Caenorhabditis elegans: one gene and its partners. The protein of the gene in region 2 purifies or fractionates together with the protein of the main gene of each other region. This does not show direct contact. Each region holds a gene or a part of one and is shown on either strand. Other genes may lie near its edges. The genes, in order: npp-20, sar-1, sec-23 and C30G7.3.

Region 1 (7,509 bases), 3.0 Mb from region 2:
AGGGGGTTCAGAGATGTGGAGAGTGCAGAGATGTTGGTGTGATGAAGACTTGGCAGTGTGCCAAATGATATTTTTTATGGAATATGATGCAATTGTGCTCTGTTGATAATTTTTGGGGTGGCAGGATTCTTTTGGGGGAAATTATTGATTTTTTTTTTCTTTAAATTTGATTTTTCTATAAAAAAAATTGGATTTTCTATAAGAATTTAGATAAATAATAGTTTTCTTATATTTGCTTTAATGATTTTTCGGCACAAATAACAGATTTTTTCAAAAAAAAATTTTTTTTTACTTTTTGGGGATTTTTATCGGAAATTTGAAAAAAACTGAAACTTACGATTTTGATGCTTCTTGAAACTATTATTTTTCGAAACTTTTTTCAAAAAAATTCTGGAAATTATTGATTTTTGTCCTAAAAATTTTTAAAACCCCGAAATTCTATCGAAAAATAATTCAACATTTTTAGATTTTGCGTGAAAACTCTGTTAGAATATCGACTTTTCTGTCAATTTTCAATTTTTTTCCGCAAAAACTGCCAGAATTTCCTCAAATAGTTCATTTTCGATTGAATTTCCAAATTAATCCGAAAAATCGATAATTTTTTGATTTTTAACTGGATTTTTCGATAGAAACGTTAACTTTGCTGACTTTCTAAAATTTTTACAAAAAAAAACATTTTAAAAAACGTTGGAAAACACATAAAATTCGAGTTTTTCGGCTGGAAATTGGGGAAAACACAAAAAAAAACAAAATGTTCTACAGTAACCTTGAAACTGCGCGTCGGGTTAGATGCATTGATACGCAATTGCGTACAATGCATTTTACTTGCCGCGCACACTTTTTGGAATTATTTTCAGCAAAAATTGCAATTTTTCAAGTATTTCAGCGAAGAAATTGAAAAAAATAAGATAATTGCAAAAATACAAGCGGGTTTTAAAGTTTTCTTTTTAAAAATCTCAAGTTTCTCAATAAAAATATAGAAAACATGTTTTAAAACAGGAATAAGCGAAAAACTATTATAATTTATTGATTTTCGCCTCCAAATCACGCTAGAAAATCAAACTGATGATCATGACAGAAAGAAATGATCGTAAAAATTGCGCTGACGACGTCACGCGACCCGCAATAAGACACACGGAGGCTAAGCACAAAATATAATGTGTTTTTTTTTCATTTGAATCTTTTTTTCAGACTTCAAAGTACGGCGTGTTGATATTGATGATCAGAAGAAAAAATCAAAACAGAAGAAAAAACAAGGACAATATAATTAAGAAAGTTGTTTTTCAGAACTTTGATCTTTTAATCTGTGTTGAAAGGTTCCCTGAGTTGTTTTTGATTTAAAATCTTAAAAAGTAGAACTAGAAATTGTTATTTTTATCAAATTATCAACAATTTCCCATTCGAATTCTCCAGGTTTCCATCAATTATTATTTTCTCGTGATTAAATCCACGTTCCTTGGCGCACGAGAAACACGCCAGCTATCGTTTGCTGGCGCGTTTCTCGTGTTGACGCGTTTCTCGATCGTTCCAACTTGCAATTTTTAAATTCAATTTTTGCCGAAATTCACTCAATTTTTAGCGATTTTTTTCGAAATTTCTAGATTTTCAGCTGAAAAATGACCACGGTCCGCCAGAGAATCGATACACAACATCGTGACGCAATTGTAAGTCGGAAAATCTGAATTTTAGCTAAGAAAATCTATTTTTTTTTTTTAAATTCTGAAAAATTGCAGCACGACGCTCAGCTCAACATCTACGGAAGCCGACTCGCCACGTGTGGATCTGACCGTCTTGTGAAGATTTTTGAGGTCAGGAAAGGCGAAAAATCTTGGATTTTCTGCAAAAATCCCAGAATTTTCATAATTTCAACGCAAAAAAAAATATAAAAATATTACAGGTTCGCCCAAATGGCCAGTCATATCCGATGGCGGAGCTTGTCGGACACAGTGGTCCCGTTTGGAAAGTCTCATGGGCTCATCCGAAATATGGAGGACTTCTTGCCTCCGCTTCCTATGATAAGTACGGAATATTTGGAAAAAAAAACGGAAAAATGATCAAAATTTGCTAGATTCGATCAGAATTTCATAAAAATACGCTAAAATCTCTGTTTTTAATCGGTTTTCAGCTCATTTTTTGGGTTTTTTGCCAAAAATTGGTTAAACAGAGTGATTTTGGAAGAAAATGGACACAAATATTGAAAAATGCAGCCTATTTCTGAAATTTCAATGAGTTTGATCATTTTTCACCGATTTTACGCTATTTTCCCTTTAAATTCACGGATTATTTAAAGAAAAATCAGTATTTTCGGTCAATTTTCACAGTTTTTTTTTGAATTTCAAGCCTAATTTCCCTCAAATCCACCAAAATTTTAAAAACTTCAACGGGTTTTATGAAATTTTTACCGATTTTCTGCAATTTTTTCCCGAATTTTAGTCGATTTCTGCCCCGATTTTTGTAATTTTTATCGATTTTATTCAATTTTCATAGTTTTTTTTTCGGAATTTTGAGCCAATTTACCCCCCAATCCAACGTTTTTTTCTGGAATTTCCATGAATTTCAGTAGTTTTTCACGGGTTTTTTGCAATTTTTAGCTCATTTTGCTCTAATTTCAGGCATTTTTCATCAATTTTCACAGATTTTCAGCCAATTTTCCCCCAAATGAATCGATTTTCTTTCCAGAAAAGTGATAATCTGGAACGAACAACAAGGCCGCTGGCAAAAAGCCTACGAATGGGCCGCTCATGAGGCCAGTACGACTTGTGTGGCCTTTGCACCACACCAATATGGCCTAATGTTGGCTTCTGCCTCTGCTGACGGTGATATCGGTATTCTTCGATACGACAATTCGAGCAACGAATGGATTTCGTCGAAAATTCAGAAATGTCATGAACAAGGAGTTAATTCAGTGTGTTGGGCACCTGGAAGTGCTGATCCGGCGGCAAAAAAACGTCTTGTTTCAGCTGGAAATGATAAAAATGTCAAGATTTGGGCTTTGTGAGTAGAGAAAATGCACTGAAAATCGATTTTTTAGATTTTTTAGATTTTTTTTGACCCGAAAAACGTGAAATTTTGACGTTTTTTCGATGGAAAATACAAAAACCGCAATTTTCTCAGGTTCTCAAAAGTCAGATTTTTTGTAAGCCTAAGCCTAAGCTTAAGCCTACGCCTACGCCTAGGCCTAAGCCTCAAATTGCCAAAACTTCTCGGAAAAAAAGTCGTAAAATTTTACTTTTTTTTCAGCAAAATTGGCAGATTTTATGAAATTTTCCCAAAAAAGTTGTATTTTTGATCCAAAATTTGTTTAAAAATCACAAATTAGTGCAGTTCTTACCGGAAATTTTTGAAAAATTCAAATTTTTCCCTCAAAATTACCTGATTTTTTGCTAAAATCACAAGAATTTCTGAGATTTTTCCCCTGAAAAAGTCAGTTTTTCTGGGATGAAAAAATTCGCAAAATAAAAATTAAATTCGGATTTTTTTTAAGGCCTAAGCCTTAGCCTAAGCCTGAATTCCAGAATTAAAAAAAATTTCCTTCTGAAAAATCAATGAAAAAATTGTTTTTTTTTCTGAAATTCTCAAAATTTACAATGTTAAAGTTAAAAATTCGACCCAATAGCGTATTTTTTCACCGAAAATTCTCAAATTTCTTAAATTTTCACCTGAAAAATCCCATTATTTTGCCAGTGACGACGCGAAAAACGAGAAAAAATGGAAATTTTTCGCCAAAGTTCCAGATTTTTCTAGAGTTTCCTTTGAAAAATCCTTTTTTTTGACAATTTTTCCGTGAAATAACCCATTTTTTCACAGTTTTCCATCAAAAAAGACTAAAAATCCGACCATTTAATAAATTTCTTTCTAAAAAATTGTAAAAGTAAAAGCGAATTCTACCCGAATTTCAGATTATCGTGTTAAATTCAAAATTTCCAGGTTTTGGATATTTTTTAACAGATATTTGTCGAATTTCCTGGATTTTCCCCCTGAAACATCCAATTTTTCGGTTTTTTGATTAAAAAAAAACTGAAAAAATCACTCAAAAAATAATTTAAACTTGAAAATTTGTCCCAAAAGCTGTTTTTTTTGCAAAAAATTCTCAAATTCCAGATTTTTCGCAGTTTCATTTCAAAAAACCCCCAAAATCGGAAATTTTTATTAATCTTTTTTGCTGAAAAATCAGAAAAAAAGTATATTCTTTCGAAATTTTTGTCGAATTTCCTGAATTTCCTCTTGAAAAATCCATTTTTTGACAATTTTTCCGCGAAATTACCCATTTTTTTACAGTGACGACGCGCTACAAACAAAATTGTTGGTGAAAATTCGAAAAAAAAAAAAAAATTTCCCCATTATAATGCAGAAATTTGGGTTCGCTTTGGAAAATCCCAATTTTGAAGCTGCCCAAAAGCTGATTTCCCACTGAATTTTGTCGAATTTATTGGGGTTTCTCACTGCAACTTTTTCCTCACGAGGGACGAGGAAAAGTGGTTTCTAGGCCATGGCCGAGGGGCCGACAAGTTTCAGCGGCCATTTATCTTGCTTTGTTTTCCGCCTGTTTTCTTTTGTTTTTCATCGATTTTTTTCGTTTTTTCTTATTAAAACTGATAAATAAATATTTTTTGCAGATGCTAAAACGATTTCCAAGTAAAAAAAAAATGTATTCAGTGGGCAAGCAGCGGTGAAAGTGGGCAATGTAAAATGATGGATTACGGGAATACAAAACCTAAACTTTTTCTGAAACATGATACATATGATGCTTAGATGCTGAAATTACCTGATTTTCATAACGAGACCGTTAAAAAAGTTTTGAGGTTTTCAAAATTCAATTTTTTGTGCGAAAATCTCGACTTTTTTACCAAAAAAGTTGAATTGTGGAAACCTCAAAACTTTTTCAGCGGACTCGTTATGAAAATCAGGTAGTCTCAGCATTTAAGCAGCATATGTATCATGTTTCAGAAAAAGTTTAGGTTTTGTATTCCCGTAATCCATCATTTTACATTGCCCACTTTCACCGCTGCTTGCCCACTGGATACATAATTTTTTAACTTGGAAATTGTTTTAGCATCTGCAAAAAATATTTATTTATCAGTTTTAATAAGAAAAAACGGGAAAAAGCTGTGAAAAACAAAAGAAAACACGCGGAAAACAAAGCAAGATAAATGGCCGCTGAAACTTGTCGGCCCCTCGGCCATGGCCTAGAAACCACTTTTCCTCGTCCCTCGTGAGGAAAAAGTTGCAGTGTTATTGGGGTTTCCTAAGAAAAATTCATTTTCTTAATGACAATTTTCCTTCGAAATCACCAATATTTTTTCCTCCAGTGACGACGCTACAAACGAATGGATTCTCGAGAAAACCCTAGCCGGACACACAGATTTTGTACGTGAAGCCGCATGGTGCCCGGTAACAAATAATGGACAACATACAATTGTTAGCTGTGGAATGGAGGGAAATTTGGTACTTTTCCGTACTTCAAATATTGAAACTGAAGAGTGGAAGGCGAAATTATTGGAGACGGCTCCGTGTGCATTGTACCATTCATCATTTTCTCCGTGTGGATCATTCCTTTCAGTTGCTGGCGATGATAATGTGGTATGGAATCGAGGATTTTTGTGTGGAATAATGTGGAAATTGGCACCGAAATTGGGAAAATTATGGATTTTTTACGTCAAAAATGGCACAATTTTTGAAAAAAAAAAGTGTACAAAAACAGCGAAAATCATCGCTTCAAAAACGGAAAATTGTCACATTTTTAGCAAAAATCGCTGAAATTTTGGATTTTTTAGCTCAAAATTATGATTTTTCGAGCAAAACCTAGAAAATTCGAAAAAATTTGGAAAAAATAGCGAAAAAAAAAAGCATTTTGGCATTAAAAAAAACGGAAAAAAATCTTACCTACCTCTAGCCGCAGTAGGCATGAGGCAGGTGGCAGGTTTTTGTGAGGAAAATTTTGATTTTTTTTTTTTTTTTTTTTTTGGTTTTAATACAACTTCTATCTTTTTTGCCCGGTTTTTCGTAATTTTAGGAAGAATTTTTCAGAATTTTCGTTGAAATTCGATTTTTTCAGGTGATTTTGATCGAAAAATGCTAAAAATATTAATTTTCGAGCAAAACCTGGAAAATTCAAAATTTTGGAAAAAAAAATCTATTGAGAACTGGCAAAAAAGTGGGAAAACAAAAAATTTTTTTTACCGGAAAATTGGCCAAAATCACTTCAAAATCAATTTTTTTTACATAAAAACCGGCGAATTTCGGTTGAAAAGTATCGATTTTTGAGCAGCACATGAAAATTTCAATTTTTATGAAAAATTTGAGAAAAAGCTACCGAAAACTTGCAAAAAAAGCATTTTGGCACGAAAAATCTGAATAAATGGAAAAAAAATACTCAAAAATTCAGAATTTGCAGTAATTTTACTGAAAATGGCGAAAAATTCGAATTTTCCGATCAAATCACCGGAATTAATTGAATTTCAACGAAAATTCTGAAAAATTCGACCTAGAATTACGAAAAACCAGACGAAATGTTCCCGCCTGCCTAATGCCTACACGTGTGCCTACCGTGCCTACAGGTAGGTAGGCAAATCTTCTTAAAAAAGTGCCGTTTCTACAAAAAAAAGCATATGATAAGCTCTGTTTGCAGGCAGGCAGGCACCTACGCCTAAAAACGCTCATTTTCCAATTTTGCAGATCACAATTTGGCGCGAAAATCTTCAGGGACAATGGATCAAAGTGCCACGTGACAATAAGGAACGCGAGGGAATGAGCCAAGCGGTCGGAGCTCCGGGAGCTCAGAGATAAATAAATTATTTATTTTTTTTCGCTGTTTCTACACCCATAATTCCTCTTAAAACTTGTATATGTACCTGTTATTATTGATTTTTTTCCTCATTTACTTCTCCGAATCCAGATATTTTATGATTTTCCTTCTTTTTCTCTCTCAAAAAACTAATGCGAAACCGGGATGAAGTTTTATTTATTTATTGATTTTTTTCGACTAAATTCAGATTTTCTCTTATTTTTGAAAAATTGGTCGCAGTAGCGCAGTCGGTTACGGGCTGGGCTGGGACGCAGAAGACCGGGGTTCGACTCCGCGTGGTGGGAATTTTCTTTATCTTAGCGTGATTGATACTGTTAACAAGCTGAAACTGAGTATAACCTGCTGGAAACTAGTGAAACTTGAAAAAAATCAGTTTTTTTTCGGAAAAATGCGGAACAGTTTTTGAAAACATGATTTTTACAAATTTCCATGCACATGTTCAAATTTCTCGCACAATTTTCGTTTATTTGACACCAATATTGGCTCATTTCCGAGGATTTTTCGAAAAATTGGTTGCAGTAGCGCAGGCGGCAACGGGCTGGGCTGGGACGCAGAAGACCGGGGTTCGACCCCGCGTGCTGGGAATAATTTTTTTCTTGGTTGATACTATTATCTAGCGGAAGTTGACCGAAATTTGTTAGAAATTAGAAATAATCTCGAATAGTTTGGGTTTTGTGTCATTTTTTTGCGGAAAAATGTCCAAA
Region 2 (3,566 bases):
TATGTGCCTTTAAAAATACAGTAGTTTTCGGATTTTTAATTTTTCCTGTCAAAAAAATATTTTTACAGGTTTTTGAGTTAAAAAAAAACGAAAAAATCGTAATTTTTGAGGCGAAAATACGGTACCCGGTCTCGACATGACTATCTTTGTTAAACACAGAAAGGTGTACTCCTTTAAAGGAGTACTGTAGTTTGAAACTTTTGGTGCAGCGGAATTTTCATCGATTTTTTGCAGTTTTACTCGCGATTTGCTAAATAATATTTATGTGTGTTTTTTTTTATAATTGACCAGCCGGTGTCGTTCGAGCCTACGGCTCGACCTACTCCGACTGGCTTAAAATAAAGTTCGAAAAAAAAAATAAATGAATGAACTTGATTTTTTTTTTGAAAATGAAAACTTTCAAACTAACGTGAATTTTGCGTGTTGGCATAGCCTACATTGGACGGTAGGAAACTCTACTTTATATTTTTTTATAATTGATACACCTATTTTTAAGAAAAATATGAGAAACAATGAAAATTGTGCAACAACAGAAGTTTGAGACTACAGTACTCTTTAAAGGCGCACACCTTTTTGCAATTAACAACAAATTGTCGTGTCGAGACCGGATACCGTATTTTGCCACAAAAATGACAAACCTTCGGGTCGCGGTATTAGTTTCTCCCATGGTATTAAAAATTTCATTTTTCAGTTTCTCAAAAATTGAGCGGATTTAAAATCGAAGAAATATACCGTAGTATTTAAAGGCGCACGCTTTTTTTGAGGCATTAAACAAATTATCTGGCGTGTCGAGACCAAATGTAGCTGAATAAGTTTTACTATTTTATAAATTCAAATTTCAATGAATAATTTCAAAAGAAAAACATTTCCTTCACGTTTTCTTTTTTATCGAGAAAAAACCATGCCATAAAAACTCTTTTCAACATTTAAATTTTTTCGAATCAGTTTCAAAAATCGATTTTTCGAAGTGATCTGAACATTTTTCATTAAAAGGAGTTTTGGCGCGTAAGTTTTATTCTTTAAACTTTTTATTTAAACGAAAATTTAATTTTCCACCGATTATTGTTGAAATTTAGGAGTTTTACATTGTAAATGCCAATTGTCTTTCCATTATGTTTCGTCTCTACTTAAAATTTGTGATATTTGTCGAATTTTGCATGCCTTTAATTGTTATTTAAAGCTTAAGCGTATTTTCTCCATTCCGCACGGAAAGCGCGCCTTTCATCCTTACTGACGCATTTCCCGACGCTGGCGCACTTCTCGACCATCTGCCACTTTGGACACGTCAGCGCTTTCCGGATTCACTTTAAATGAAGCTTTCCTGGTCCCGAATCGCCGATTTTCAGAATTAGAATTTTTTGATTATCACACTGCGTCTCTTTTCTCTTTTCGGGTACACGTGGAAGCGCGTGTCGTTTTGTCTCTGTGTAGCACGCTACACAGAATGTCTCCGCCTCGTTATTTTCTCTCTTTTCCTCTTTTCTCACCCCCATTTAACCACTAAAAGTTCCCACTTTTGATCTATTTCAGTTCATTCATTTATTCTCTAAAAAATGCCTGATTTACCCGATTTTTAAGTGATTTAATTAATAAATTAATTGCATAATTTTCCAGATTCAATATGTCGTTTTTATGGGACTGGTTTAATGGAGTGCTCAACATGCTGGGTTTGTAAAACTGAATTTTACCATCATAAAACCTTTTATTTACAGGATTGGCCAACAAAAAGGGAAAATTGGTATTTTTGGGACTAGACAACGCTGGAAAGACTACACTGCTTCACATGCTTAAAGATGATCGTATTGCTCAACACGTTCCCACTCTTCACCCAAGTAATTATCGCTTTTTATTGATTTTAAAAGCAATTCCGGTGTAGTTCAGCCTGTTAAAGGAAGGAATCTTACTTTAAAAAAATGATATCTTTCTCTTCTTTACAGCTGATTGACCGGTTTTGCTTATCATCTGTCAATTGCTAAAGATGATGACGCAAAAAACTAGTTGTGAGAATTATTGAATTGATTATTTTTCAGCATCTGAGCAAATGTCACTCGGAGGAATTTCGTTTACCACATACGATCTCGGTGGTCACGCGCAAGGTATTCACTCGTTTTTTCGGTTTTTTAAACTAATTTTCTTCATTTTTCCAGCACGACGAGTCTGGAAAGATTACTTCCCTGCCGTGGACGCCGTCGTCTTCTTGATCGATGTGGCCGACGCCGAAAGAATGCAAGAAAGCCGTGTTGAGCTCGAATCGCTGCTCCAGGACGAGCAGATCGCTTCCGTTCCAGTGCTTATTCTCGGAAACAAGATTGACAAGCCAGGAGCATTGAGTGAGGATCAGCTCAAGTGGCAACTCAACATTCAACATATGTGCACCGGAAAGGGTTGGTTTTTGATTGGAAATTATCGCTTGAATTTATTTAAAAAACGAAAATCTTTATAGGAGACGTTTCCCGCAACGAAATGGCTTCTCGGCCGATGGAAGTGTTCATGTGCTCTGTTCTTCAGCGACAAGGATACGGAGAAGGAATCCGTTGGCTTGGACAGTACCTGTAAACAGATCAGTTCTTGAACTCTTCTTCTTCTGCTCACTCCTTTTTTATTCCATTCTCGAAAAAAGCACCATTCTCTTACATATTGCGCCGCCAACATTTCCCATAGATTTGTTGTACGTACTTGTCATTTTCCTTCGTTTTTTCTTTTGGGATCCTTGGGATCCTCATCATTAAACTTCTCATGCCTTCGACGTTTGTGCATAAAAAAGCAAGCCGCAATCCCATTTTATTTTATTTATAAATTTTGACTTATACGGACTTGTAAAAAATTCACGGCGTCCTCATTGTTTTTCTATTCTCCACAAAAATTTATTCAAACCTTTTCCTCATCTATTCCGTATTTATCACATCACTATCATTCAAACATCCCCATTTTTCTTCTCGTCCCACTTCATTTCCCCCTCAGATTTTCTAATTTTTTATTTCGGTTAGTTCTATGTGAATGAAACAGCTTCGGAATGTTGCAGTTCGAAGTTTTCCCAGAAATTATTCTCTTATCACGCTACTCACAAGAAAAAAAACGTCACGCCATATAGTTGTTTTCTTTGTGGCGAGCTTTAACTATAGTTATAACTGAAACTGAAAAACTTGGAATTTGAAAAGAAAATTGTTGATCGGAGTACATTTGATCACAAGGGCCTGTAGTCAGGCGACATGGTCAAACATTCCATTATGTGGTTTGTGTTCCAAGTGGTCAAACGGACACATTTCTATTTCAGGTGCGGAAAAAAAATTAATTTCAGATCAGATAATTGGCTATTTTTCCAGAAGAACCTTTTCGTCGTAGTCTCACAGATGGCTTCTGCAGTACATTTGAGTGCACACAGCTCACTCCAATTCTCTATTCCTCCACTCTCTCGACGCAATGGTGTTCGTGTGCACCCACTACGAATATCCAATAATCAGGGAAGGGAACCTCCTTTATTCATAGAATTTTAAATAAATATTTTGAATTTATCATCATCTATATTTTACTTGTAAACTCTATTAAAATAGTTTTATCGTCAAAAT
Region 3 (4,835 bases), on a different chromosome or scaffold from region 2:
CATGTTCAATATGTCTTATGAAGTTTGAATAAAAAAGTGTATAGTCGGTGTATAGTCGTTAATTAACCTATTAACTTAAAGGTGGTGTAGTCGAAAATTATTGAAAATTCACAGATTTCAGTGAAAAATTCGAACAAAACAAGGCTATACACTTTTTAATTCAATTTTCCATCCAAAATCTTATAATTCTATTCATTGGTTAGTAGTATGGTAATTCAATTAAATAATGCGCTACTTATGCTCAATTGACCCAGTTTTCTCGAAAAAGTAGGATTCTTCATAAAAAATAAATGTTAAATTGAATGTTATACTATATATATAGTTGTTCTGAAACGTTACAGCTCTGCGGAATAGGTAAAGGTGGTGTAGTCGAATTTTTTTTATTGCCTTATTAGACTCAAAATTGTCTGAAAACACCGAATTTCATAATGAAACTTCTTGAAAACTTGACAAAAAAAAGTTATGGCGGCTCAAAAAATGGCCTAAAATTAGTTAAAATTTGAAATTTGACCGACTTGTCAAGCGGCTGGAAACACTTTTTTTTTGAAATCACCGTCAAATTTTGAGTTTACAAGTTGATTATCTTGCGTTTTAAACTTGATTAAGGTATTTAAAAATCGATGTACGGCGAGATTTTTAATTTTTTTTATCGATAAACTCGCCGTCCATCGATTTTTAAATAGCTTAATCAAGTTTAAAACGCAAGATAATCAACTTGTAAACTCAAAATTTAACGATGATTTCAAAAAAAAAAATTTCCAGCCGCTGCGACATTGATAAGTTAGTCAAATTTCCGATTTTAACTAATTTTAGGCCATTTTTTGAGCCGTCATAACCTTTTTTTGAAAAGTTTTCAAGAAGTTTTATTATGAAATTCGGTGTTTTCAGACAATTTTGAGTCTAAATAAAGCAATTTGAAAAAAATCGACGACACCACCTTTAACTATTCCGCATTTTAGAGCTTTAACGTTTCAGAACAACTATATATATAGTATAACATTTAATTTAACATCTATTTTTAATGAAGAATCCTACTTTTTCGAGAAAACTGGTCAATTGAGCATATTGAGCGCATTATTTAATTGAATTACTATACTAGTAACCAATGAATAGAATTATAAGATTTTGGATGGAAAATTGAATTAAAAAGTGTATAGTCTTGTTTTGTTCGAATTGTTCACTGAAATCCGAGAATTTTCAATAATTCTCTAATTTTTCGCTATTCATTTTGCATTTACTTAGTGTTTTTTTTTTGGCATTTTTCGGCATTTTTCAGGCTTCTAACCCAAAAAATCCAATTTTCCCTGCAATTTATTACCTTGAAAACGTAGCTTCTCGAGATTCCCTGAGTGTTGAGCTCATGCAGCTGGACCATTCTACCGTAGGTGATCAATCCGACGAGAGCATCGGCTGGGAGCAGCGAGAGAGCAGTCTGAAATTGGAAAAATTGGGAAATTTTGCCCAAAAATCTGAATTTTACGGCAAAAATTGCCAATTTTCATGAAAAATAACACTATTATGTTTAAAAAAGTCGAATTTTCAAGCGAAAATGAGCAGAAATTCCCATTTTTCAGCAGAAATTCCCATTTTTGAGTGAAAAAATCACAAATTTTGAGTTGGAAAACCGACGAATTTTCGAGCAATTTTCCGCGAAAATTTTAAAAAACCGCCGTTTTTTTCTCAATTTTCTGCAATTTGTCCCGTACTTGAAGGCATTCTTTCAGCGATTTCAGCTCCTCTGCAGTCATACACGTGTCGACGACGAAAACGAAGATCGGCGGCATTGTGGTGGCTTTCTGGAATAAAGATTTGGCTTAAAACTCGGATTTTTCAGCATTTTCTCACTCGAAGCGTGTACTCAATGGTTGTAAATTGTGGATAGAGCTCCGGCGGGCGGTTATCCTCGGCAATTGCCGCATAATGAGCCGGGAACGGATTCCGATTGTTGCAGAATGGGCACATCCAGATTTTGGCGCGATAATCGACGGCGCTGAAAGCATCATTTTTCGGGGTGAAAATCGGGCAAAAAAAGGCCTGAAACTCACCAAAGTGGGTTTAAAATCGCTTTACAGCTGGCTTTTTGGCACAAAACCGGATCATATTCCAGTGGTGGTTGGGCGACTTCTGTTGATGGGCGCTCCTGGAAAAAAAATTTGGTTTTTGAGAGAAATTTGATGAGAAATCGTGAAATTTCAGCTTAAAATCGGCTTGAACTCCGCAAAATTGGATTAGCAGCGCCTAAAGCTTGTAGTTTGTAGTTTAGCAGCGCCTAAAGCTTGTAGTTTGTAGTTTCAGCAGCGCCCAAAATTGGATTAGCAGCGCCCAAAACGTGTAGTTTGTAGTTTAGCAGCGCCCAAAATTGAATTAGCAGCGCCCAAAACTTGTAGTTTGTAGTTTTAGCAGCGTTCAAAATTGGATTAGCAGCGCCCAAAACTTGTAGTTTGTAGTCTAAGCAGCGCCCAAAATTGAATTTTTTTTTTGCGTTTCTCAGCGGAATTTTACGATTTTTGCAGAGATTACCGACTTTTTAAGGTAAAAATGCAGAAATTCCGATGGAAATTGAGAAAAAAATCGCGTTTTTAATCGAAAAATTGCTGAAATTCATGCCTTCGGTGTTTCGAAGCTGCCGATCGGCTCGAGCAGCTACCAAATTTGAATTTTTAGAAGATTATAACGAATTTCTGGCAAAAAATGAAGCAATCCACTAAAATTTGCAAAGATTCGGAGAAAATTGATGGAATTTCGATGGATTTGAAGAAAAATTGCTGAAAATAGGCTTTTCCTCAGCTTTTGGCGCTGCTCGGCAGCTACAAAATCCAATTTTCAATGCTTAAAATTCAATAATTCCACGAAAAATTCGAAGAAAATCCAGTTTCCGCGCCTCAGTTTTACCTTCAGCGGCGTGAAAAAGCAGGTGAGCGGGACGACAAGCTTCTGAGAATCCACTCGACTGTGTGGCCACATGTTCCACGTGAATTGGACGCCATCGTTCGCCTGTTGAGCACCCAAATATTCTTCCCAAGTGGCCATTTTTACTGGAATAAACTGGTAATGAACTTTTTATCGCGGAAAATGATGAAAAACGAGGAGAATACGTGGATTACGTGTGAAATTCTGGTTTTTCACCATTAAATTTTAATTTTATTAATATAAAACACTGAAAATCACGTTTAATAGCGAAAAATCGAGTTTTTTGGGTTTTTATGGTTGCCCAATCAATTTTCGTCATTTTTTCGACATATGCAAGGTGAAAACTATGATTTTTACACTAAAATCAATAAAAATCGACTTATTTTCAATATTTTAGCAAGAAAAATCAGAAAAAATGGTGAAAAACGAGTGAAAATCTGCAAAATTCCAACAGAAAATGTACACGTGGAGGAAGATGGCCGAGAAAAGAATTGGAGTTTTCTAGGCCGCGGCCAGTGTGTTGTTTTACGATGCGTGACACTTTTGAAAATGTTTTTTGAGTTGGTTTTCTCGATTTCTACCGTTTTTCGTTGCAATTTCTGTATCTTTTTGGTGAATAATAAGTGAAAATCTCGATTTTTCAGTATGAAACGGATCGCCGACGAGGAACTTGTGCGAGAGGAGCGTGCAGAGGAGAGTACACAGAAATGGCTGCAGGATGCCAAGTTTCAAGAGATTTTAGGCGCTGATTCGTCGCATAAGGTGAGAAAATCAATAAAAAGTGAATTTTTTGCATTAAGAAACAATAAATTTCACCTAAAAATCATAAAAATCAATATTTTCTTCCAGTCTCTCTTCGTTTTGCTCTCCCATCCCGATGGATCTCAAGGCATTCTGCTTGCCAACAAGTCTCCGTTTTCCGAAGAAAAATCCGATATCGAGAAGCTTCTGGCGACTGCACAGCTTCAAGAAATCTCCAGAAATGACATTTTCGGGTCCTATAATATAGAAATCGATCCCAAATTGAATTGTAATCCACACAATCTTGCTTAAATTAATTTTTAATTCAATTTTCAGTGCTAAAATCTCAACTAATCTACCCGATAAACGATCGTCTCATTGCAAAATACCGTCAGGAGGAGAAATTCGTGATTCGAGAGACTCCAGAGCTTTATGAGACTGTTACAAGGCCGTATATTGAGAAATATCAGCTGAATCTCAATGTAAGCAGCGAAAAAATGAAGAAAATCGGAGAAAATACCAAGAAAATGAGTTTAGCAGCGCCCAAAACGTGTAGTTTGTAGTTTAGCAGCGCCCAAAACTTGTAGTTTGTAGTCTTAGCAGCGCCCAAAATTGAATTAGCAGCGCCCAAATCTTGTAGTTTGTAGTCTTAGCAGCGCCCAAAATTGAATTAGCAGCGCCCAAATCTTGTAGTTTGTAGTCTTAGCAGCGCCCAAAATTGAATTAGCAGCGCCTAAAACGTGTAGTTTGTAGTGTTAGCAGCGCCCAAAACGTGTAGTTTGTAGTCTAAGCAGCGCCCAAAATTGAATTAGCAGCGCCCAAAACGTGTAGTTTGTAGTCTAAGCAGCGCCCAAAATCACGATTATCGATTTTCACTCGTTTTTCTTCGATTTTTTCGAATTTTTTGATTTTTCTTTTGGTTTTAAGTGAAAAACAAGACAGAAAATGAGAATATTCTGCAAAAAATTGACAAAAACCATTAAAAATTCGTAGATTTTCTCTGTTTTTCAGAGTTTTTAGCGTTCAAAGTGAATAAAAATTCGGAAATTAGTAGAAATACTGAAAATCGCACAATTTTAAATGAGAAAATGCGATTTTCCGCTCGAAATTTCTTTTTCAAAAATCAATTTTTCGTTTCAGTGGGTGTACAATTGCCTGGAAAAGCGCTCGGAAGTCGATAAAAT
Region 4 (5,904 bases), on a different chromosome or scaffold from region 2:
TTTTTTAAAAATAAATATTATTAATAAGTTCTCTGCAACAAAACAATATAATAGCAAACAACCCTTTTCAGATAAAACGTATTGCTATTTTTCCTGAAAGTTCAGTTTGAAAAAGCGTTTAATTTGTTTGACTCTCTGTTGAATTTCCTATTTTATATATGCTTATTTTTTCTCGAATAAATAAGTATGGCGTCAAAAAATTCGTTTAAATCAAAAACCAATTTTTATCATCATGTCGACGAAATAGCTTGGCTTGGGGACACACAAGGTCTAACAAATAAGAATGAAGCTCATAACAGCGCAAAAAACAAGCCGTTTTGCTTCACTTTGCCGGCTTATGTCACAGGGCTTAGGCTTAGGATTTTTTTTGGTTTAGCCTTAGGCTCATTTTTAGGCTTAGTCTTAGGCACTTAGGCATTATTTCCAGTTATTCGCTTTCCTGAAAATTGTTAAAAATCTACTTGAAAATCCGGGTTGTTAGGTGACTACAAAAAAGGTTTAAAAAATTGGAAATCCAATCAATAAATTCTTTATTCGCAAAAATCGAGGAAAATCAATTGCCGTGGATAATGAAGTGTGCAACTTTTGTGACTGTTCCCTGGAATAATAAAATATTTTTACACGGTTATGGTGTTTGCAAGGCACCAAAATTGCGCAAACAAGTTTTCTATTGCATGGGGAGCACGCTCAAAAAATTTCAGAGCTCTGTGTCTACTAAGAGCAAAGTTAGGGTAACTGCAAGTTTTGACATGCGTCGTGTGTCGCTAGGACTTTCAAACCACCTTAACTTTGCTCAAAATGTGGCTACAGCTCTGAAATTTTCTGTGGTTCATTTTTTTCATCTAATTTGATGTTCTGAATTAAAACGCTAAAGTTTCAAAAATTTCATGAGTTTCGTGTCGCGTCGCGGTCCAGCCATGAAATTTCACACAGAAACTTAAAAGTACGTACTCCTGGATTCGAAGCTTTGACACGACGCTGTCTCATCTGACAATTGAAATCCTTGACGTCATCATCGATTTCTTGAAGCTTCTTCTGCAAAAAAATCAATATTTATTTTCCATATTAGGCAATCACTCACCAAATGAGCGGCGCTCTGTGGATACACGGCTTCCGTCACAAATTGCAAACGTTCCATGTTTTCACAGGCCATCGATAGATGTGCGGCAACTCGTTCTGCACACTTTTCCGCTTCAATTGTGCCGTAAAACGCCGGATTTTGAGCAAGGATGACGTCATCGAGTTCCACGTCATCATCATCTTCAACTGGAACATTCACGTTCAGGTCGTCAATATCATCGTCTTTTGGAACTCGGTTAGCAGAGAAACTATCGATTTTCACCTCATCATTTCGACAATTTGATATGCGAATTTTTTGGTAGGATTTCGGTTGGAGGTGGCTGAAACTAGGAAAATTAGGGCTTCAAATTTAATGATCAAGAATTGCGTCATGGCACGAAAAATACGCCAAGGAGCAATGATGACGTCATCATATTAACAATTACATTGGGAGCGTTCACAAAAAATTTTGAAAGTCTTCGAACAGTGCGAGCAAAGTTACAGTGGTTCAAAACTTTAGTCTGCGTCGCGGTTTTTCTCAATACTTCAAATCTACGTAACTGTTCAAAATCTACGTAACTGTTCAAAATTGTTCAAAATGCTCGTAGAGCTGTGTATTGATTTCTCTGTATTGATTTCTGATGTATGTATGTATACTACTGTTAACGCCTTAACGCAAAACTCGTGCCTTGGCGCGTTTCTAGTGCAAACTCACCACACATCCTGAATGACTTGAGTCGCCGCTTCATTGATAGTCACATGTCTTTTGGTGGTTTTTGTGACTTTTTGCTTTGTCTCGGGCAGTTTTTTCAGTTTCAGGCGGTGTTGGTAGGCGTCGAAGGCGTCGGATGCCGTGCGGTTGTTGTACTGAAAATTTTTTGAATTGAATGTACGTAATAATACACAGCTAGCCACACAAAAAATTTCAAATCAATCCACTGGGAGCAAAGTTACAACTAGTCAAAGCAAACAACCTGCGACGCGGTCGATTAATCTTATAAGAAACTTCAAGGCCTGGTAACACTGCTCAAAATAGTCTTATCGAACTGAAATTTCAGGTATGTCTTTCTGATAGGATGTCCAACAAGCCAACAAAATGATAGAGCCTTGGCGCAATTCTCGACCCACCTTTCTCTTATCAAATGGCTGATAAATCCACGTGGCAAGTGCCTTTGGTTGCTCCGCCGCTGCACGATCCCAGTTCGTGACATATACATTCCTTTTCTTCGGTTTTTCCACAATTTTTTGCTGAAAATAAAAATATATATTGATTTATTGATTTTTAGTCCAAAAAATCAAAAAATCAATACATTTCCGGTCGGAATCTGACGATAGATAGTTGTTAAAAATGGCATTTTGTACAGCGATCAAATTTTGAAATGATTTTTTTCCAATATTCTCACCTTGAGGGGACATTTGACACGTGGCGACACTACGGTGATTTGTTCACGTGAAAATTCCAAAATTGACAGTGATGAGGTGGTGGAGCCGGTGGTGCCGTCTGCATAAAATCGATAATCAAAAAAAAGAACGTGAAAAAATATCGCTTTTTACTTAAAATCAAAAATATTTTCGAAGTATTGATTTTTAGGAATTACAGGGTGGGCCAAAAGTATGGTAACACGTTTGCAGCTCTATAACTTTACTAGTGGAGAGAGTTATTACATCAATTTGTACAAGTTTTGTTCTCCATAAAATACTGACCAGATGAACGTTTTGAATTTTCAAAATATATCCATCCGCATTGCTGCAGGCCTTCAGAACTTTTGAGATCACGATCTTTATGGCACGCAAGTCGGCATTCTGCGGGATTTCTACATTTTTCTTGAGGAATCCATAAAGTGTCTTACAAGTTTTTATAGTTCAAAGAATGCCCTTGGTCTAGAGATTCTTTAAAAACAAAAATCAAAATATTTTCTATCACGGTATTTCTGTCATGGACTGCGGCAGTAGGTTAAGTCTTGAATGGCATAGTCGCCAGAAAGATGGATGTGAGCGGCGAGTAGCAGTATTCAGATAAATTTATTTTAGTATTTTTCGAGACGTTTTGACCTGACTTTCCAGAATTTTTTTAGAAAATTGAGCTCGGATGATTTTGTGGGTCGTTACGCCTTGCGAAACCAAAAAAACTGAGTAAATTTCGCAAAGTTGAATTCATGAAATATACAAAGGTTCTTGCTAGGCGCCAGTGTCGACACAGAACATTTTTATATGCTACAAAAACAATTAAAAACGCTTCTTCACTTCTTTAACTTTCAATTTAACATAAAAATCATACATCTGAAAATTATTGGCGTGCGTGGGAGGTGTGTTTGTGTGGGAAGTGCCGCGTGCCAAATTACCGTTTTTTCGAAAGGGTTCGCCAAATTGTCGAGGTGATAAAGATCGCACCTTATTGGGAAACATTACAAATTTTGAGTCAAATTGAAGGAAATTTATTCAGCTATCAGTATTCGATAGAAGAATGTACGTATGACGTGGCAGTCGCGCGAAAAGCTCATGTAAAAGAGCGCTTCATGTGTTACCATACTTTTGGCCCACCCTGTATGCTATTTTTACCAACAAAAAAATCAATAATTCGAAAATTTTAATTTTAACTCTTTTCTGGAACAAAAATCGATAATTACACGTAGGTGAAAATTTTTGTGTAAAATATAGATTTTACGGAAAAATCGATATTTTCTAAATTTTCAAAATATTTATTTTTGAGAAATTATCGATTTTTGAACAGAAACAACAAAAACTATCAGTTTTTCCCGACTCTCAAACTCACAGCAGACGTAATACGGATTACGACGAGTGCCGGCGGTACAGACGTTGTCCCAGATGTGAGAATTTTTCTGAAAAATATACGGTATCGTGAATTGCGCAAGCAAATGCTGGCGCATTTCTCGTGCACCTCACCTTTGATTGTCTGCAGTTCATTGGAGTAATGTGAATAAGCGGCGAGTAATAAATGTGGTATTGACGAGTATAAAAGTGAGAAATAATTGAAATTTATCGATTTTATCAATCTCACGGATTATCGATTATTGTTGAGAATAACAAAATTCGAAAAGGCCACGTGAAGATTTAATTTCAAAAACAGTTTTATTTAAAAAAATATATCGATAATTATTACATTTTCTTTCTTTTTTTCAAATTGAGATCATGACAATACAAAAATCAATAAATTAATGAGAAAAAATCTATAAGACTCCCGAGTAGAAACCATTTTCCACGACATTAGATTTCAGAGTTACATACTTTCCATCTTCCTGTAAAAATCGATAAATTTTGAATGATCGGTAATCTGCCATTTTCAATTTTTGACAAATCGATAATGTGAAGTTTTAATTTTTTTTTTTTGAAAAGTCGATAATATGAAATTTTAATTTTTGAAAAATTGATAATTTTTTATTAATTTCCGGAAAATCCATCATTTGAAATTTTTCATTTACGAAAAACATTATTTTTTATTCACAAAAGCCAAGAAATCAATTGTCGTGGATAATAAAGTGTGCAACTTTTGTGGCAGTTCCCTAGGTTAATGAAATATTTTAACGCGACTTTGGTGTTTGCACGAGAATAGAGCCAAGACACCAAATTTGAGTCAGATATCATGATAACCAATATGGCTTAATGCTACGAAAATAACTTAAATTATCTTCTAAAAATCTCGGAATTAAGCATTGTTGGTGCAAGACTAATAGAAATAATACGGTATATGTTTTTTAATCTACAGTTGGTCAAATATTTCATTGCGAGGTCAATCTGGGTTGTGATGGTTTAACGTCGAATTGTAACTTTTTTGCTGCCATCCCATCAAATTGAACAAAAAACTTACAGCTTTTTATAATATAGAAACAATTTTGGATGCTATCATGTCATAAATATTATAGTTCTATATTTATCAGTCGGCTTCTATGTAAGAAGCATTTAGAATTTCTTCGTCATTGTGAACAATAGATGATTATTGTCAGCTTTTAATTATTATTTTTGCAATTGGACAAATTTCAAACACATTTTCAGTACATCTACAAAAATTGACAACGGTGAAGTAAACTACGATGTCGCATTGGTTTATTAAATTTCAAAATGATGACTAGAAATGCGAACAGTCATCAAATTACATGGATTTTCACAATATTTGGATTCTCTTCATCAACTTGAACTTCAGCTTCTGACAATGAAATTTCTGATAAAGTATTATTCACCGATTGAACATCTGAGGGTATTGTTATTTCCTCATTTGATACTGGAGAGCATGCAGGTGCGGCTGGTGTCGTTTTTGATGGGTCGGATGTTGAACCATCCTTCAAATCTTTTGCCTTTTGTCTTGAATTCGTTAATATTTTTTTGATAGCTATTGAAATGTGCCCATCCTTGTTGAGGTATAGGAAAATGAGAAAAAGAGCAATTAACATGAAGCCGAAACCAATGATGAAATCAAAAACTGCCATGTTTGAAGTTCTGGAATTCTTTGAAGTAGAAATCATTTGTATCCTATATGTTTTTGAATTGGAAAAAACTTACAGCTTCTGAAAATATAGAATCAATTTTAAATGTCATTTTTGTCATAAATATAATAGCTTTTGTACTTTTCAGACGGCTGCTTCTAGGTGTTAAGAATTCCGAAGTTTTTTTTGTTATCGCAAACAATTGATGATGATTTATTTTGGAAATGTGACTAATAATATTTAATTGTGAAACTTTTTCGTTATTATTTTCCCGATGAAACAAATTATTTGGCGAGAAAAACATTGGTTTCAATTTTTTTTTCGTACTTTTGAGGGCTACCTGCAAGTGAAAAAATTCTTTAATTGTTTCGTAGGTGCATTGCTTCATTGTGATGTGGGGAACGTT

Evidence for each region.
Region 1: the proteins of sar-1 (region 2) and npp-20 fractionate together in Caenorhabditis elegans (co-fractionation; one large-scale study listed by BioGRID). This does not show direct contact.
Region 3: the proteins of sar-1 (region 2) and sec-23 fractionate together in Caenorhabditis elegans (co-fractionation; one large-scale study listed by BioGRID). This does not show direct contact.
Region 4: the proteins of sar-1 (region 2) and C30G7.3 fractionate together in Caenorhabditis elegans (co-fractionation; one large-scale study listed by BioGRID). This does not show direct contact.

The regions. Positions count from the first base shown.
Region 1 is NC_003282.8:1,490,115-1,497,623, reverse strand, and holds npp-20 (Protein SEC13 homolog), read left to right. Parts: upstream 1-1,601; 5' UTR 1,602-1,616; coding exon 1,617-1,664; intron 1,665-1,733; coding exon 1,734-1,808; intron 1,809-1,897; coding exon 1,898-2,019; intron 2,020-2,679; coding exon 2,680-2,994; intron 2,995-5,309; coding exon 5,310-5,580; intron 5,581-6,675; coding exon 6,676-6,786; 3' UTR 6,787-6,971; downstream 6,972-7,509.
Region 2 is NC_003282.8:4,511,368-4,514,933, reverse strand, and holds sar-1 (Small COPII coat GTPase SAR1), read left to right. Parts: upstream 1-1,614; 5' UTR 1,615-1,621; coding exon 1,622-1,667; intron 1,668-1,712; coding exon 1,713-1,832; intron 1,833-2,030; coding exon 2,031-2,096; intron 2,097-2,147; coding exon 2,148-2,384; intron 2,385-2,443; coding exon 2,444-2,556; 3' UTR 2,557-3,041; downstream 3,042-3,566. Other genes in the region: ZK180.8 (uncharacterized protein), read left to right, coding at 3,351-3,494. UniProt on the Caenorhabditis elegans protein: Small GTPase that cycles between an active GTP-bound and an inactive GDP-bound state and mainly functions in vesicle-mediated endoplasmic reticulum (ER) to Golgi transport.
Region 3 is NC_003283.11:20,089,463-20,094,297, reverse strand, and holds the start of sec-23 (Protein transport protein SEC23), read right to left. Parts: upstream 3,036-4,835; 5' UTR 3,031-3,035; coding exon 2,893-3,030; intron 2,141-2,892; coding exon 2,046-2,140; intron 1,991-2,045; coding exon 1,846-1,990; intron 1,797-1,845; coding exon 1,707-1,796; intron 1,433-1,706; coding exon 1,319-1,432; intron 46-1,318; exon of another isoform or gene 1-45. Other genes in the region: dcs-1 (m7GpppX diphosphatase), read left to right, coding at 3,556-3,672, 3,760-3,940, 3,988-4,133, 4,792-4,835.
Region 4 is NC_003283.11:14,941,622-14,947,525, forward strand, and holds C30G7.3 (MADF domain-containing protein), read right to left. Parts: upstream 4,084-5,904; 5' UTR 3,985-4,083; coding exon 3,964-3,984; intron 3,900-3,963; coding exon 3,833-3,899; intron 2,561-3,832; coding exon 2,463-2,560; intron 2,308-2,462; coding exon 2,188-2,307; intron 1,927-2,187; coding exon 1,775-1,926; intron 1,401-1,774; coding exon 1,082-1,400; intron 1,036-1,081; coding exon 952-1,035; intron 599-951; coding exon 554-598; 3' UTR 509-553; downstream 1-508. Other genes in the region: C30G7.4 (Matrix-remodeling-associated protein 7), read right to left, coding at 5,163-5,501.